Saccharomyces cerevisiae S288C: one gene and its partners. Changing the gene in region 2 together with the main gene of any one other region gives a genetic interaction. Each region holds a gene or a part of one and is shown on either strand. Other genes may lie near its edges.

The links. A genetic interaction does not mean that the proteins touch.
Region 1: mutations in VAM7 (region 2) and AVL9 together harm fitness more than expected from each alone (negative genetic interaction), as found in Saccharomyces cerevisiae (4 studies listed by BioGRID).
Region 3: mutations in VAM7 (region 2) and ARL1 together harm fitness more than expected from each alone (negative genetic interaction), as found in Saccharomyces cerevisiae (4 studies listed by BioGRID).

Annotation. Positions count from the first base shown.
Region 1 is NC_001144.5:374,123-380,062, forward strand, and holds AVL9 (Avl9p), read right to left. Parts: upstream 3,117-5,940; coding exon 822-3,116; downstream 1-821. Other genes in the region: cleavage polyadenylation factor subunit CFT2, read left to right, coding at 3,863-5,940. UniProt on the Saccharomyces cerevisiae protein: Functions in the late secretory pathway. Required for the generation of secretory vesicles as well as for actin polarization and polarized growth.
Region 2 is NC_001139.9:89,513-94,178, reverse strand, and holds VAM7 (Vam7p), read right to left. Parts: upstream 2,748-4,666; coding exon 1,797-2,747; downstream 1-1,796. Other genes in the region: Rab family GTPase YPT32, read right to left, coding at 1-387; NCS6 (Ncs6p), read right to left, coding at 588-1,667; SKI complex subunit WD repeat protein SKI8, read left to right, coding at 2,932-4,125. UniProt on the Saccharomyces cerevisiae protein: Essential for proper morphogenesis of the vacuole. May exist as structural reinforcement on the surface of the vacuolar membrane and be required for maintenance against rupture by osmotic pressure.
Region 3 is NC_001134.8:567,054-571,161, forward strand, and holds ARL1 (Arf family GTPase ARL1), read right to left. Parts: upstream 1,374-4,108; coding exon 822-1,373; downstream 1-821. Other genes in the region: EXO5 (Exo5p), read left to right, coding at 1-427; UBS1 (Ubs1p), read left to right, coding at 1,799-2,632; TYR1 (prephenate dehydrogenase (NADP(+))), read right to left, coding at 2,789-4,108. UniProt on the Saccharomyces cerevisiae protein: Recruits golgins such as IMH1 to the Golgi. Can bind and hydrolyze GTP. May be involved in trafficking events within the endosomal system.

The sequences.
Region 1 (5,940 bases), on a different chromosome or scaffold from region 2:
GAACTACCCAAAAGTATAAATGCCTGAACAATTAGTTTAGATCCGAGATTCCGCGCTTCCACCACTTAGTATGATTCATATTTTATATAATATATAAGATAAGTAACATCCGTGAGTTAATCTGATAAACCGTTTTGACAACTGGTAACTTCCCTAAGACTGTTTATATTAGGATTGTCAAGACACTCCGGTATTACTCGAGCCCGTAATAAAACAAAAACAATAAATCTTGTTCCTCGTGGCCCAATGGTCACGGCGTCTGGCTACGAACCAGAAGATTCCAGGTTCAAGTCCTGGCGGGGAAGATTTTTTTGCTCCGACAATTATGTCGCTACCCTTCAGTTTTGTTGAAAATGATGCTTTTATCGTTAACTTTACTTATCTTTATTGTTTGCAAGATTACTATTAATATTAAAGAGGGTCTAGCAAGGATACTGCGATTGTTTCTAAATATTTCAACTTTCTACGTTATTCATCTTTAGGAAGCTAAAAAGCATTCAAAAGATTACTATGAAGTTAATCTTTAAACATAGTTTGATGAGCGTCTATGCAAATAGAATAACTTCAAAAAATTTTCTATTCCATTTTTGGAAAGCCCCAAAAAGCTATATTCTATAATTTCTGAATCTTATTGTGCTTGTGGAGGTCACCCCAGTTTTCTATAAATTATTATTCAGCTATTATCCCAATACGACTAAAGGTATTGAGATTCACGGATATTTTTTCCCCTGCAACTTTCACAACTGGAGGGCTCTGTTTCTTGATTTTCTTTTTGTCATATAAACATATCTTAGCGCGATTGCTAACAAATAGTATAGATATCATAATTTTTCCTCATCCTGCACACAATTACCTATAGCAGCGTCATTCGCACCGCCCTCCTCATTGGATTTTTTAACTGTATTTCTCGTTTTAGATGAGTCTTCAACATTTCTATCGTTTTCATAAATATCAGTTTTACTGTCGGAATTTTTATTGCTCTCAGGACCACCTTCAATATCTTTATCTGCAACGGTTTCGTCCTCATTAAAATTTTCTGCATTACCCTCAAAATTCTGTTCATTTTCTTTATCATGATCAGTGTTAATGTTCGTAACGTCTGTAAAACCATTGCTAAAATCTTGACTGTCTTCCTTATCGCCATTTTCATCGCCCTCACCGTCATCGCCATTTTCATCGCCCTCACCGTCATCGCCATTTTCATCGCCCTCACCGTCATCGTCATCGTCATCGTCCTCACTATCATCGTCATCACCACCATCATCATCATCATCCTCAGAGTCCTCATCAGTATCATCATCTTCATTGTCCTCACTATTTCCCACCTCTTCACTTTGTTGATCTGTCTCCGCATCAGGTTTATAATGTAAACCCAAGCCCATCATAGCTTTCTGTATCGCGTTCGATGTTTTACTTCTGTTTTTGAGATCTTCTGTGGATTCAGTAACATCTTCATTAGCAGTATTCTTTGGTTTATTGAAATATTCCTTCCATGAATTCCATAAGTTGGCTGCTGGCTTGTCTGTATTCTTTCCAGGATTTACAGAAATTTGGGAAACAGACTTTTTTGACTCGATGCTTTCCTGGTCTTTGATATCCTCCTCGCTTTGATGACCATTTTTATTGCTTGAAGAGTTGCTAGAGCTTCTTTTTAAATTATGAAATGTGGCCAAAAATCGTTGCTGTAATAGAGACAGAGTGTCGGCACCGTTATATATATGCTTCGGAGGAAACAAGTCGAACAATCTATCATCTGTTCTTGAGTTGAATATCAGAAAATTTTGAGTCTCTTTCCAACTCTGAACCCAATTCAAATTGAATAAATGAACGGGATTGGAATTTAGCATATCCTCAGGTATAGTCTTCAAAGCTTGATCATTCTCTTTATGCAGGTCCAAATAATCACTTAATTTAACACTGGAAAGTAACCCCGTTAAATAGTCCTCGAATTGCCACCTAATGAAATCCTCACTGCCTTCAAATTGAGAGTTTTTTGGAGTTTCATCATCATTTTCGTTCCATGTGTCTGATACAATTCCAGATATAGATTCAATCCATTTTTTATCATGACTTGACAATTGGAGGACGGGGTTCAAAGTCTTGTCCAGAATATCTACAGTGGAATTGTCTGTATTGACAAATATGTGGCACAGTTCCTCCTTTTGTTCAGCAAGCAATGTGTTGGAACTTCCAATCATAAAAAACAAAGTACGTTCTGACCGTATGTCATTCATTTGCTGCAGTGGAGTATAGGGTGAAAATAGTCCACCTTTTTCGAAAATCGGTAATGGAAAACCTAAGAATCTCAACACTGATTCTCGATTGCTTGATTTAAACGAGTCCACAACATTTAATTTCGAAATATCCTGAAACAACTGAGGACTGCCAGAATCCTGCAAATTTGACATCAAGTCCGGAATTAAGCTGATCAGACCGAACTGTAAATTACACAAAGCTTCCACGTCGTTGCCGTAAACTATAATTTTTTTTTCAAGCATAATTGCTTTCAATAAGACTAAAGCGTTTCTCTTAAAATCATGTAGTATCTTTCTCAGACATAACCCAATATAAAGACGATTTTCGGCATTTCTGACCAATGATGCAGGCGTGTAAATCGACTTCAGGTTTTCGTATAAAGACTGGATTATCTTCCTGTCCCCAAAATCATGCTGCAAGAAAAAAGCATTAGTCACAATACTAAGTTTGTCCTTGATTTGACCGAAGATTGGTTGCCTTGAGATGACTACAATTGCCTTCTGTACAGTAGATCGTGTTACATCCTTATCTTTAGTGACCAATTCATCACTCTTTATCTGTCTCGAGCAAGATATGGCAAACAAAGTCGTGTTGTCATTGATGCTATCATCACTCAGATCAGTTGCCCCGTTGGGAGGGCTCCTTTGTCTTCTTTCATCATATAGTAATGTGAAATAAGTAAATGTTTCTTCAAACGAGTGAGAACCATCAGGAAGGGCCTGGAAGGGTAAATTTGGCCATAGTTCTGCACTTTGGGTGCCCTCAGGTAAGCCATACCAGTATTCTATTTCAGGGCCTCTTTTGTGATGAAAGTCCACAAGGCAGATACCGAAGATGACTGCTTCCTCGTGTTCATCCATTATTTTGACAACAAGGTTGCAGCGAGGCAGAATGTATATGTTAGTTTGATATGGTCTTCCTGCTTGGATTCCTTTAAGGCTTCAAAATTTTCTTGAAAAGGAAACTTCGTGAATGAGCTGTAAGGATGCTTGATCGGGCCGTACATTCTTATGCAAGATCCATTATTGACTGCTCTCTGTTGGGTTAGCTTCCATATCTTCCGTTACCCGTTCGTATAATCATTACCCGACGGACAAGCATCATTTCAGCGGCTATTTTTGCTAGGCAAACCTCCTAAGCAATGATACTTCTCAAACGTTCAATGGAAGTAATAGAAGTTCAACTTACCCCATTAATAATCCACACATTAGAAGGTTGGGACAATAAAAATAAAAAGCATTAATTAGTGTAAACTTTGCTCCCAAATGCAAGTCTAAGGTAAGTTCTTTGGTTCATGGAGTTTTTGCAGTGTAATCTCACGTGCACTAGACTGAGTAAAGCGAACCTGAGTTCAAGAAATAATGATTCACCTATGACATATAGTCCAACTATACAAGCAATGAACCCTTACGGATTGAAGTCATTCAATGTTCAATGTTTGTTGTAATAAGAAATATTACTAGAAAAAGATTTTTTCTTTCGGCGGCGTTTTCCCGCTTTTCTTAAACAATCTGCAGTTTTAACATCGAATTCACGAATATTTGTTCGCTAAAGAAATAACACAGAAGATGAAATGAAGAACATACATTGAGGGCGACGAATATATATGACTTATAAATACAATTGCTGTGATGATGGATCAGGAACCACCGTTGGTTCAGTGGTACGATTTGATAACGTCACCTTGTTAATCGATCCCGGTTGGAATCCATCTAAAGTATCGTATGAGCAATGCATCAAGTACTGGGAAAAAGTGATACCGGAAATTGATGTAATAATACTATCACAACCAACAATTGAATGTTTAGGTGCTCATTCCCTTCTGTACTATAATTTTACCTCGCATTTCATATCCAGAATTCAAGTTTACGCAACTCTTCCTGTTATCAACTTAGGGAGAGTTTCCACCATAGATTCATATGCATCTGCAGGTGTTATAGGTCCATATGACACAAATAAACTCGATCTTGAAGATATTGAGATATCTTTTGATCATATTGTACCTTTGAAGTACTCGCAATTGGTAGATCTACGATCAAGATACGATGGATTGACTTTACTGGCGTACAATGCTGGTGTGTGTCCAGGTGGTTCTATTTGGTGCATTAGCACATACTCAGAGAAATTGGTTTATGCAAAGCGATGGAACCACACTAGAGATAACATACTAAATGCTGCTTCTATATTGGACGCCACTGGTAAGCCCTTATCAACTTTGATGAGGCCCTCTGCAATAATTACTACTTTGGACAGGTTTGGCTCCTCTCAACCGTTTAAAAAACGTTCAAAAATCTTTAAAGATACATTAAAGAAAGGTTTGAGTTCGGATGGGTCCGTTATAATACCGGTAGATATGAGTGGCAAATTTCTGGACCTGTTCACACAAGTTCATGAGTTATTATTTGAAAGCACAAAGATCAATGCGCACACACAAGTACCTGTACTTATTCTGTCTTACGCGAGAGGAAGAACTCTAACATATGCCAAATCAATGCTCGAGTGGCTGTCCCCTTCACTACTTAAGACATGGGAAAACAGAAATAATACTTCTCCATTTGAAATTGGATCACGGATCAAAATCATCGCACCAAACGAATTGAGTAAATATCCTGGTTCAAAGATTTGCTTCGTATCTGAGGTAGGAGCTTTGATTAATGAAGTGATAATTAAAGTTGGTAATTCTGAGAAGACAACCTTGATTTTGACCAAGCCGAGCTTTGAATGTGCGTCGTCTTTAGACAAGATACTAGAAATTGTTGAACAAGATGAAAGAAATTGGAAAACATTTCCTGAAGATGGTAAATCATTCCTCTGCGATAATTACATTTCAATAGACACCATAAAAGAAGAACCCTTGAGTAAAGAGGAAACAGAGGCGTTTAAAGTACAGCTTAAAGAAAAGAAAAGGGACAGAAATAAGAAAATTCTACTGGTGAAAAGAGAGTCTAAGAAACTGGCTAACGGCAACGCAATCATAGATGATACCAACGGAGAGAGGGCAATGAGAAATCAAGACATTTTAGTGGAAAACGTCAATGGAGTACCACCGATTGATCATATTATGGGGGGTGACGAAGATGATGATGAAGAGGAAGAAAACGACAATTTGTTGAATTTACTCAAGGATAACTCTGAGAAATCAGCAGCGAAAAAAAATACGGAAGTTCCTGTAGACATTATAATTCAACCAAGTGCCGCTTCAAAACATAAAATGTTCCCATTTAACCCCGCTAAAATCAAGAAAGATGATTATGGTACTGTTGTAGATTTTACGATGTTTTTACCTGATGATTCTGACAATGTTAATCAAAATAGCAGGAAAAGACCTCTCAAAGACGGTGCTAAAACCACGAGCCCTGTAAACGAAGAAGATAACAAAAATGAAGAAGAAGATGGTTATAATATGAGTGATCCAATTAGCAAAAGGAGCAAACACCGTGCTTCTCGTTACTCGGGATTTTCTGGAACCGGAGAAGCAGAAAATTTTGATAACCTTGACTATTTAAAGATAGACAAAACGCTCTCCAAAAGAACAATCTCAACTGTAAATGTCCAATTGAAATGCTCCGTAGTAATCCTAAATTTACAGAGTTTAGTTGATCAAAGGTCTGCATCTATTATATGGCCATCGCTAAAATCTAGAAAAATAGTTCTTTCCGCCCCCAAACAGATTCAAAATGAAGA
Region 2 (4,666 bases):
ATCTGATTTGTTCCCTATCAACCCAACAGCCACGTTGTCATCTGCGTTCTCTCTCAGTTCGGTAAGCCAGTGGTTGCAATTTTCGTATGAACTTGATTTGCTTATATCATACACTATAAGTGCACCTACAGCACCACGGTAGTACGCAGACGTGATGGCCCTGTAACGTTCTTGACCTGCCGTGTCCCAAATCTGTGCTTTTATCTTCTTGTTTTCAACTTCAATGGTTCTTGTAGCGAATTCCACGCCAATCGTGGATTTGGATTCAATGTTGAATTCATCGGTTGTAAATCTCGACAACAGATTAGATTTACCCACACCGGAGTCGCCGATAAGAACTATCTTAAATAAATAATCGTAGTCGTATCCGTAATCTTCGTTGCTCATTCTTGGAAAACAATATGCTTGGTTCGCTCTTTATCACCACGCTTTTCCTCTCTTTCCAGCGCGAACCATGCAATGGCCAGCTTTATAGCTGATTCTTTTATTTGTCTTTATTGTGTTGCGCGTTCTAATGGAGGGCGCGCCGTACTATATTATATTATATTATGTTACGCTGCATTCTTCTACTGCGAGCTATATATATGTCAAAAGCTGAGTTTCTCAAGAGCTCTCAGCTTCAAGGCTGCACCATCGGCAGAAGTGTCATTCTCGATTGCCACTTGGGCTCTACTTTTCTCCAGTCCTTCCAGCAACATGCACGCCTTGCAAATGTTATTTGACGACAGATATCCACATCTAGCGCATCTATTGCCGTCAACAAATTTGACGACTCTCTTTCCAGCGTTAGATTTTTTAGCCTTTAATGCCAAATTTTCGCCACTTTGGATGATGTCTATAATGCAACTGGGCCTCACTGCTTCCAGATTCTTCATGTATTCTCTCGCAGTGCCCCTAAACGCTTCTGGGGCATAGGTACACTCAGTGGAAAAATAATCCAGCTTCATGTAGTGCGCATACAGGACAATTTCCTTTTGGTAAGAATATTTAAATGGTTTTGATCTCTTGATGGGAGAGCCGCTACTTTGTGTGATAATCGCAGTCGATTTTTCCAATCTTGCTACGTCACCACGTAGGATATTCATTAGTACTGTCTCTGCCATATCGTCTGCATTGTGGCCGGTGACAACGTGAGATATGCCCAGCTTTGCAGCACCACGGTCCAATGATTGTCTTCTAAAAACACCACAATACGTGCAACTGTTCCTTATACCAGCAACGGATACAATCTCATCCATTGTCCAATCATAGAGGTCCTTAAAGGAAAAAATCTCCAAAGGAAGGCCATACTGCTGCTGATTCCTTTTCACCGTGGCCAAGGAATCATCTCTGTATCCGATGATTCCTTCGTCAATACTCAACAGTACAATCTCAATGCCGTAATCGTAACGGTCATTCAGAAGCTTCAGCATATGCGCTAACACCGTGGAGTCTTTACCACCAGAGGCCCCCACGGCTACTTTTTCTCCCCTCTGAAACAAGTTATTTGCTACAATAGTGTTATGGATCTCCGTCTCGAACACGAGGCAGAAGCATTGTTTGCAAAGTTTAGACAGGTTTTTGGGTCTTCTAATGAGAGCCTTTCTTGAATGACATAGTTCACACAACTGTGATACCTTCACTTTTGTCGGTTTATTGACGGGATCTGAAGGAGCAGTAAACGACATGACGGTTCCTTTGCTTTACTCTTACCATATCGTCTCATCGCCAAAATTTTTCAATTACTAGATTTACAATTTTTTTTTTTAGTACAAATATACTCTCAGGATTTGTAACCCGGATAGTAACTCATTAATTCAAGCACTGTTGTTAAAATGTCTAGCCTTCTTGTTGGCTATCTGTAACCTCCTACCAGTGTTATCGACGTCATCTTCAAGTGCTGTAAGTAGCTCATTCTGTGTTTGCAGCTCCTCGTTCATCTCTAAGGCCAATCCACGTTGTGCCTGGATAATTCGGTGCAGTGCAACCAACTCTTGTTCTTGATCGCGCACCATTTGCATCTGCCCCTGTTGCAAATCGTTATTCGTTCTTCCTTGAACTTCCGTGGTTGAAGAGTTGTCACTGGTGGCAACCCCCAGAAGTCGTCCACGGTCCTGAGCTATGTTTGCTGTACCAATGTCATCGCATTCCTTGAGCAAGGACCTCAATAGAGCGGCGCGACGAGTCACTTCCGTGCTTGGAAGAGACTTCTTTTGCACATCCTGTTCTAGTCGCTCTCGTAACTTGTGGAGCTTCGTACGTGCCCTTAGTGCTCCACGCACGCTGGGTGTGCCATCACTCTCCTTATCTAAATCCAATTTAATATCTCTTATCATCTCATCCCATCCCACTTCGTCAGCAGTTTCTAGATGCTGCTGTGACTTTTCTTGAGAAACATTTGGCTTTGACAACTGCAGGAAGTCTTGCGCTATTTTTGTGTCTCTCCATCGAGAATCAAAACGATCGTTATACAATTCATTGAGGAACCTCTCTAGTCCGATCCGTCTTTCATCGATCATTTCCGGATCATCATATCTTCTTTGCCACCTCCTGTCCAATACACCGGGCTTTTCAGGGAAGTCATATGGGATGGTGCTTCCTACATCTCTCTCCAATCGTGTCTTCAGTTTCCAAAACTCGGAATACCTTTTGTAAAGGCGCTTGTTTGGTGTACTAACACCGTATAAAACATACTTGGGGTTGATTTTAACATCGTCCACCTTGATTCTTAACTTTTCACTCATTTTCCCTACAGAATTAGCTGCCATCAATATCAATTATCAACCCTTATATGACTTTATTGTTTTTGTTTTTGTTGGCTAATTAATTGATACAAATCTTTAGGCGAAAAATAAAAAAAATATAAAGTAAAGAAGGAAAAATTAGGCGATATTAAAACAAATCTAAAATAAAGACAAGAAACGAAAAAGAGGTTAATCAAGTATTGGAAAAATGTCCAAAGTGTTTATTGCCACAGCAAATGCAGGTAAAGCTCATGACGCTGATATTTTCTCGGTTTCTGCTTGCAATTCATTTACGGTAAGTTGTTCAGGTGACGGTTACTTAAAGGTGTGGGATAATAAGCTGTTAGATAATGAAAATCCAAAAGATAAGTCATATTCTCACTTTGTCCATAAGTCCGGATTGCACCATGTCGATGTCTTGCAAGCTATTGAGAGAGATGCATTTGAATTATGCCTTGTTGCTACCACTTCATTTTCTGGCGATTTACTCTTCTATCGTATCACTAGAGAAGATGAGACTAAAAAAGTTATATTCGAGAAATTGGATCTTCTAGACTCAGACATGAAAAAGCATTCCTTTTGGGCATTAAAATGGGGTGCCTCAAATGACAGACTACTTTCCCATAGGCTGGTTGCTACAGACGTCAAAGGGACCACTTACATTTGGAAGTTTCACCCGTTTGCAGATGAGTCAAATTCTTTAACACTAAATTGGAGCCCCACGTTAGAATTACAAGGCACTGTCGAATCGCCTATGACTCCAAGTCAATTTGCCACTTCTGTGGATATCTCTGAACGAGGACTAATTGCCACAGGTTTTAATAATGGAACAGTACAAATTTCAGAACTATCTACATTACGCCCGTTGTACAATTTTGAATCTCAGCATTCTATGATTAATAATTCGAATTCCATCAGATCGGTGAAATTTTCTCCTCAAGGATCCTTATTAGCCATTGCTCACGATTCAAATTCATTTGGTTGCATCACTCTATATGAAACTGAATTTGGTGAAAGAATAGGCTCCTTATCCGTACCAACCCATAGCTCGCAGGCAAGTCTGGGTGAATTTGCACATTCTAGCTGGGTCATGAGTCTATCGTTTAATGATTCTGGTGAAACATTATGCAGTGCCGGATGGGATGGTAAATTGAGATTTTGGGATGTAAAAACAAAGGAAAGAATCACTACATTGAATATGCATTGTGATGATATTGAAATTGAAGAGGATATCTTAGCTGTTGATGAACATGGAGATTCTTTAGCTGAACCTGGTGTCTTTGACGTGAAGTTTTTGAAAAAAGGTTGGAGATCTGGTATGGGAGCTGATTTAAATGAAAGTTTATGCTGTGTTTGTTTAGATAGAAGCATCAGGTGGTTTAGAGAAGCTGGCGGTAAATAATCTCTAGTAATATCTTGATATATTGCATGTAACCTTACAATCATCCATTATTCTTTTTGGTTCATAAAATTTCAGTAATATTTAATACCTTTAATAAGCCAATGTATGAATTTCACTTCACAAAAATAAATTTGCTAGTAATAAAAAAAAAAAATTGGTTTTTTTATGTATTTCTTAAATATTAGAAAGAGATAGACTCAATTCTTACATATGTATATGTGGAGAACTTGAAAAAAAAAATTAATAACAAAGTAAATGAGAAAAAATGATAAAGGGAAAGAAAAGGACAAGATGTTAAAAATCCAGTGCTTTTTTTTTTTGGTTTTCATTTTTTATAGTTTTTATTCCTGTCATAAAATTTGTTTAGTTTTTAATTTTCTTTTTTTTTCATATTTTTTTATTTTTTTTATTTTTTTTAATAAGATCACTCACCTAAGAGGTCCATATGGAGTACTAATAAAAAAAGTAATAATAATAATCTTTCTTCTTTATTTCGTTTTTCAAAAATTTTGTTAGCTTCCGATTTTCATTTTAGGAAAAT
Region 3 (4,108 bases), on a different chromosome or scaffold from region 2:
AGACGAAGATAGTTCGGAGTCAACAAAATGTGTATCTTTGCGAGATTATGGACATTTTTATACGAAATGGAAGACACCTCTAACTTTGAAATACTTTGCGGCAAGGTTATCACAGATCTATTTTATTGTGGGTAATCTCGTTTCGAATGATTTAATGATAGAATATTATTACCATAACGATAATTTCCACAATATCATCTTCCCATATGATCCCTTGAAACTGGGAACCCATGCCCATGATTCTGCAATGGTTTGGTTTGGTGGCAGAGATATGCATCCAATTGAGCCTACTCAAAAAAACTTCAACACATACTGTAAGTTTTGTGACTACAGACACGTTTGTTCTTGGAAAAATAAAAATGAATTGAAACTTATTGATCTAGGGAAAGAATTAAAAAAAATTATTCTTGAATCAAGTATGAAGTAGTGTAGGTATTGTAACATTATTTATTCTAGTTATTAAAAGGGTGTTGTTTCGTGAATACATTGAAGTCCTTTATTGGGTTATTAAGCACATAAATCTGTTTCTGCTTTCGGACGTCCTGTTTCAATAAATCGGAATTGAAATGACAATTTAATTTAAATGTATATATGCAACTTTCATTAAGAGGTCATTAGGTATTTTAATGCGGCCTTCTCATTCATCGGAACGATGTAATTGCCTTTAGAATTAAAACCCAAAGAGAAACATGTATACACTTACTAACTCTATTATGTTTGGATAGAGCTCCTTGATAATTCAGTTACAAAACAAATTATATGTATATTCAATGCCATTTAAAAAGTATGCATCTACACTTTTTTTTTGCAAATCTTTATCGCTATAACTGTTCCTCTTTTATAACATCAATCAACCAATCTAAACCTTCGGTAATACCTTCGCCTTTAATTGCACTGGATGCTACGATAGACCAACTTCTGTCCTTCAATTCTACAAGATTCAGTTCTTTGGAGACTTCACTGGCACTTAATGCACCCGGTTGGTCTTGTTTATTTGCAAAAACCAGCAGTGCTGCATCTTGCAATTCTTCTTCCTGTAACATCAAATGAAGTTCCTTAGAGGCTGTAGACATACGATCTTTATCAGTCGAATCAACAACGAAAATAACTGCAGCAGTGTCTGCATAATAACACCTCCAGTAGGGCCTGATACTTGTTTGACCACCAAGATCCCAGACGTTCAATTTTAAGTTTTTATAACTTAGCGTCTCTACATTGAAACCAATGGTTGGCTTTGTAGTGACTACTTCGCCAATTTGTAAACGATATAAGATGGTAGTTTTACCTGCACCATCCAAACCCAAAATCAATATACGCAATTCTTTGTTTGAACCCCATAGTTTGTCAAACATTGAACTAAAAATGTTACCCATCTTGATCTATAACTCACTTTACTGGAACTTTCTTCTTAGATCTTTCTTTATTTTTCCTTTGGTTTTAGAAACCTTATTACTCACCGTTTCGTAAATACAAATGAACCACGCAATCCTTTACTACTTGAAAGTTCCGAGAACATTCTGCCTAATATTAATTGTCGTAAATCTAACTTTTATAGGCAAAATAGTTTTATTCAAAATTTCAATTGGAAAGGGCTCTGTTACCCGTCCTGTACGATGCAGTGGGTTTTGTTATTGTCATAAGAAATATTTAACCTACTCTTCCCATATATATCATAGAACACATTCTTAGTATGTTTTGAGAGCATCAATCTAACGTTGCCTTTGTCGTGATTTTGTGCGAGGAGGCGATATAAGAGCTAAACAGATTTTTTTATATTTTAATCAAAAAGCTAATAATTATGGCTTACTCTTTAACAAGGAAATTGCTGAAGGATTGGAAATATTTTATGCGCCATCCTGAGAAGACCCAAGGTCTTTTTCATGTAAGGCCACATGATTCAGACTTACATCTTTGGCACGTGGTAATGTACGAGCCCAGGACTTCTTTGGAAGTATATCTACTACTTTATATTGGCGGAAACGACCAGGATCCATATATCATCATGAAATGTCTGTCTCCAAATTGTTGCTTTCCAATTAACAGAACGGTTTCGATGACACACTTAAACTATCTTTTATTGAAAGACTTGGGATTACAGGATTTACTTTTCCACATATGGCAACCGCTTTTTCATATTCAAGCAACGGAAGACTTACAGTATTCACCGTCAACGGTAAAATTCAACAGGGCGTGGAATAGGATTATATATAAGGACTTTAAATCTTATTTTCCGGAACTGATAGGTACTTTACAACCAGGTGATTACTCTATAGTAAAGAGCTATTCCAAAAATCATAATATCAGCAATAGTAATGGTGGCAGTGTCAATGAATTTATGTCCTCTTACAATGCTCAAAGCCACACCTTTCACGCACAAGACAACAGCAAGAACCCTTATACTAACAGCAGCATAGGAAAGTCTAGTATGTTATCTACTCTCAACAATAATAACGTTAACAAAAGGACACATGACTACAATGCTATCGACTTTATGACCAAAAACTTACTTGCATGTGATGATGACAGTATTCATCCGGTCGTAAGTTCTAAAAGGTCAAGAACGTTGGCATGTCCAGATGAAACGAACGATAATCGCGGTAGTGAGCATTACACAAAGAGGAAAAAAATCTAATGGGTTTATTTTTACATAGAATAGTAGAACTTTCTTCCTTTTTTCACGATTTTTTGCATGGGCATTTGTCACAATATATATTTTTATTCAGTTATATAAATATACTCCTTTTCACAAAAGAAGGCCTAATATTATAGGAAATCAGCATTAAAAACATTATGTATTTCTTTTTTCAGCGGCCGAACGGTCACTAGAATGACTCAGAATGGTTTTTATCATCTCGTTGCCAATGAGATTAGCCTCTGGAAGCATTGGCTCAAAGAACTTTTGAACACTCTGAAATTGCTTTTTGTATATATCAAAATTGGCAAAAGAAACAACCGAGCTCCATTCTCTAGCCGAAATAACAAATTCTAAATCATCTTTTATGAATGATTTATCATGGATAGCTGCATCAATTGTCTGTTCTAATAAGCCAGGTTTTAAAAAAAGATATTCGGACACACCCAGGAATATTCTGAATAATGGCGTCGAACAAATCATATGATCATATGGATCAATACCAAGTTGAAACCACGAATCAACAATCGCCAACAATGATAAATGTGAATTCGGCACTGGCTTGCAATTGTTGCTGTTACCAATGCTGCTTTTTGATAGCGAATATTTCTCTAAAATCGTGTCATCCAATAGTAAGAGACCAGTATGCTTTCCAAATACAAATTGCTTAGCTTTTAATAGTCTATCAGTAAGTTCTTGTTCTTTGTTATCTATCATTAAACTAAATAGTTCTGTTGCACTGGTTGCATATTGAAGAATTTGCTGATGTGCACTTGGGTTTGTTATGGCTAATCCTGCGTAAACATGCCACTTGTTCGAATAGATTCTTAGTGATATATTAACTTTCACATTTTCTAGGCCACCGTACCATTTGTTTACACCCAGAGTCCAAGGATAAATCTTTATCTTTGCCCACGCAGATCCCATACTTAAGAAAGCAGCATGTGTCACAGCTTGTGTATCAGCGGTAATCTTGTCATGCTCTTCATATGTCAAATAAACTTGCTTACTTTTCAAACATGCCATAACAGAATTAACGAACTCAAAAGATTCTGGGTACTGTGATCTGTGATTGATAATAACTAGTGGTTGGCCTTCAGTATTAACTTTAGGCCCATGAAGGGAATGCACGGTAATGATGTCGCAGTCCTTGGGTAAATACTTTTCGAAAGCCTCGATTTCCGGCAGCTTACAACTCGTTTGACCCCCAACAATTGTTCCAACCTTAGAAGATGGTCCATACGTTGCGACGATCTTACTAATATTGGATGCTTCAACACTATAGATAATATAGTCGCTTTGCCTGGATACCAAATGACCATTTTTCACCAGTTCGAATTTAGCTGAGGCATATTTTTCTTTCAGTTCATCATAATATTCTTCCCTATCACAACATATAACACCCCATCCAGCATCTGTAAATTTATTAGCGTATAATAGGCCCATATCACCCAGACCAATTATACCAATGACTTT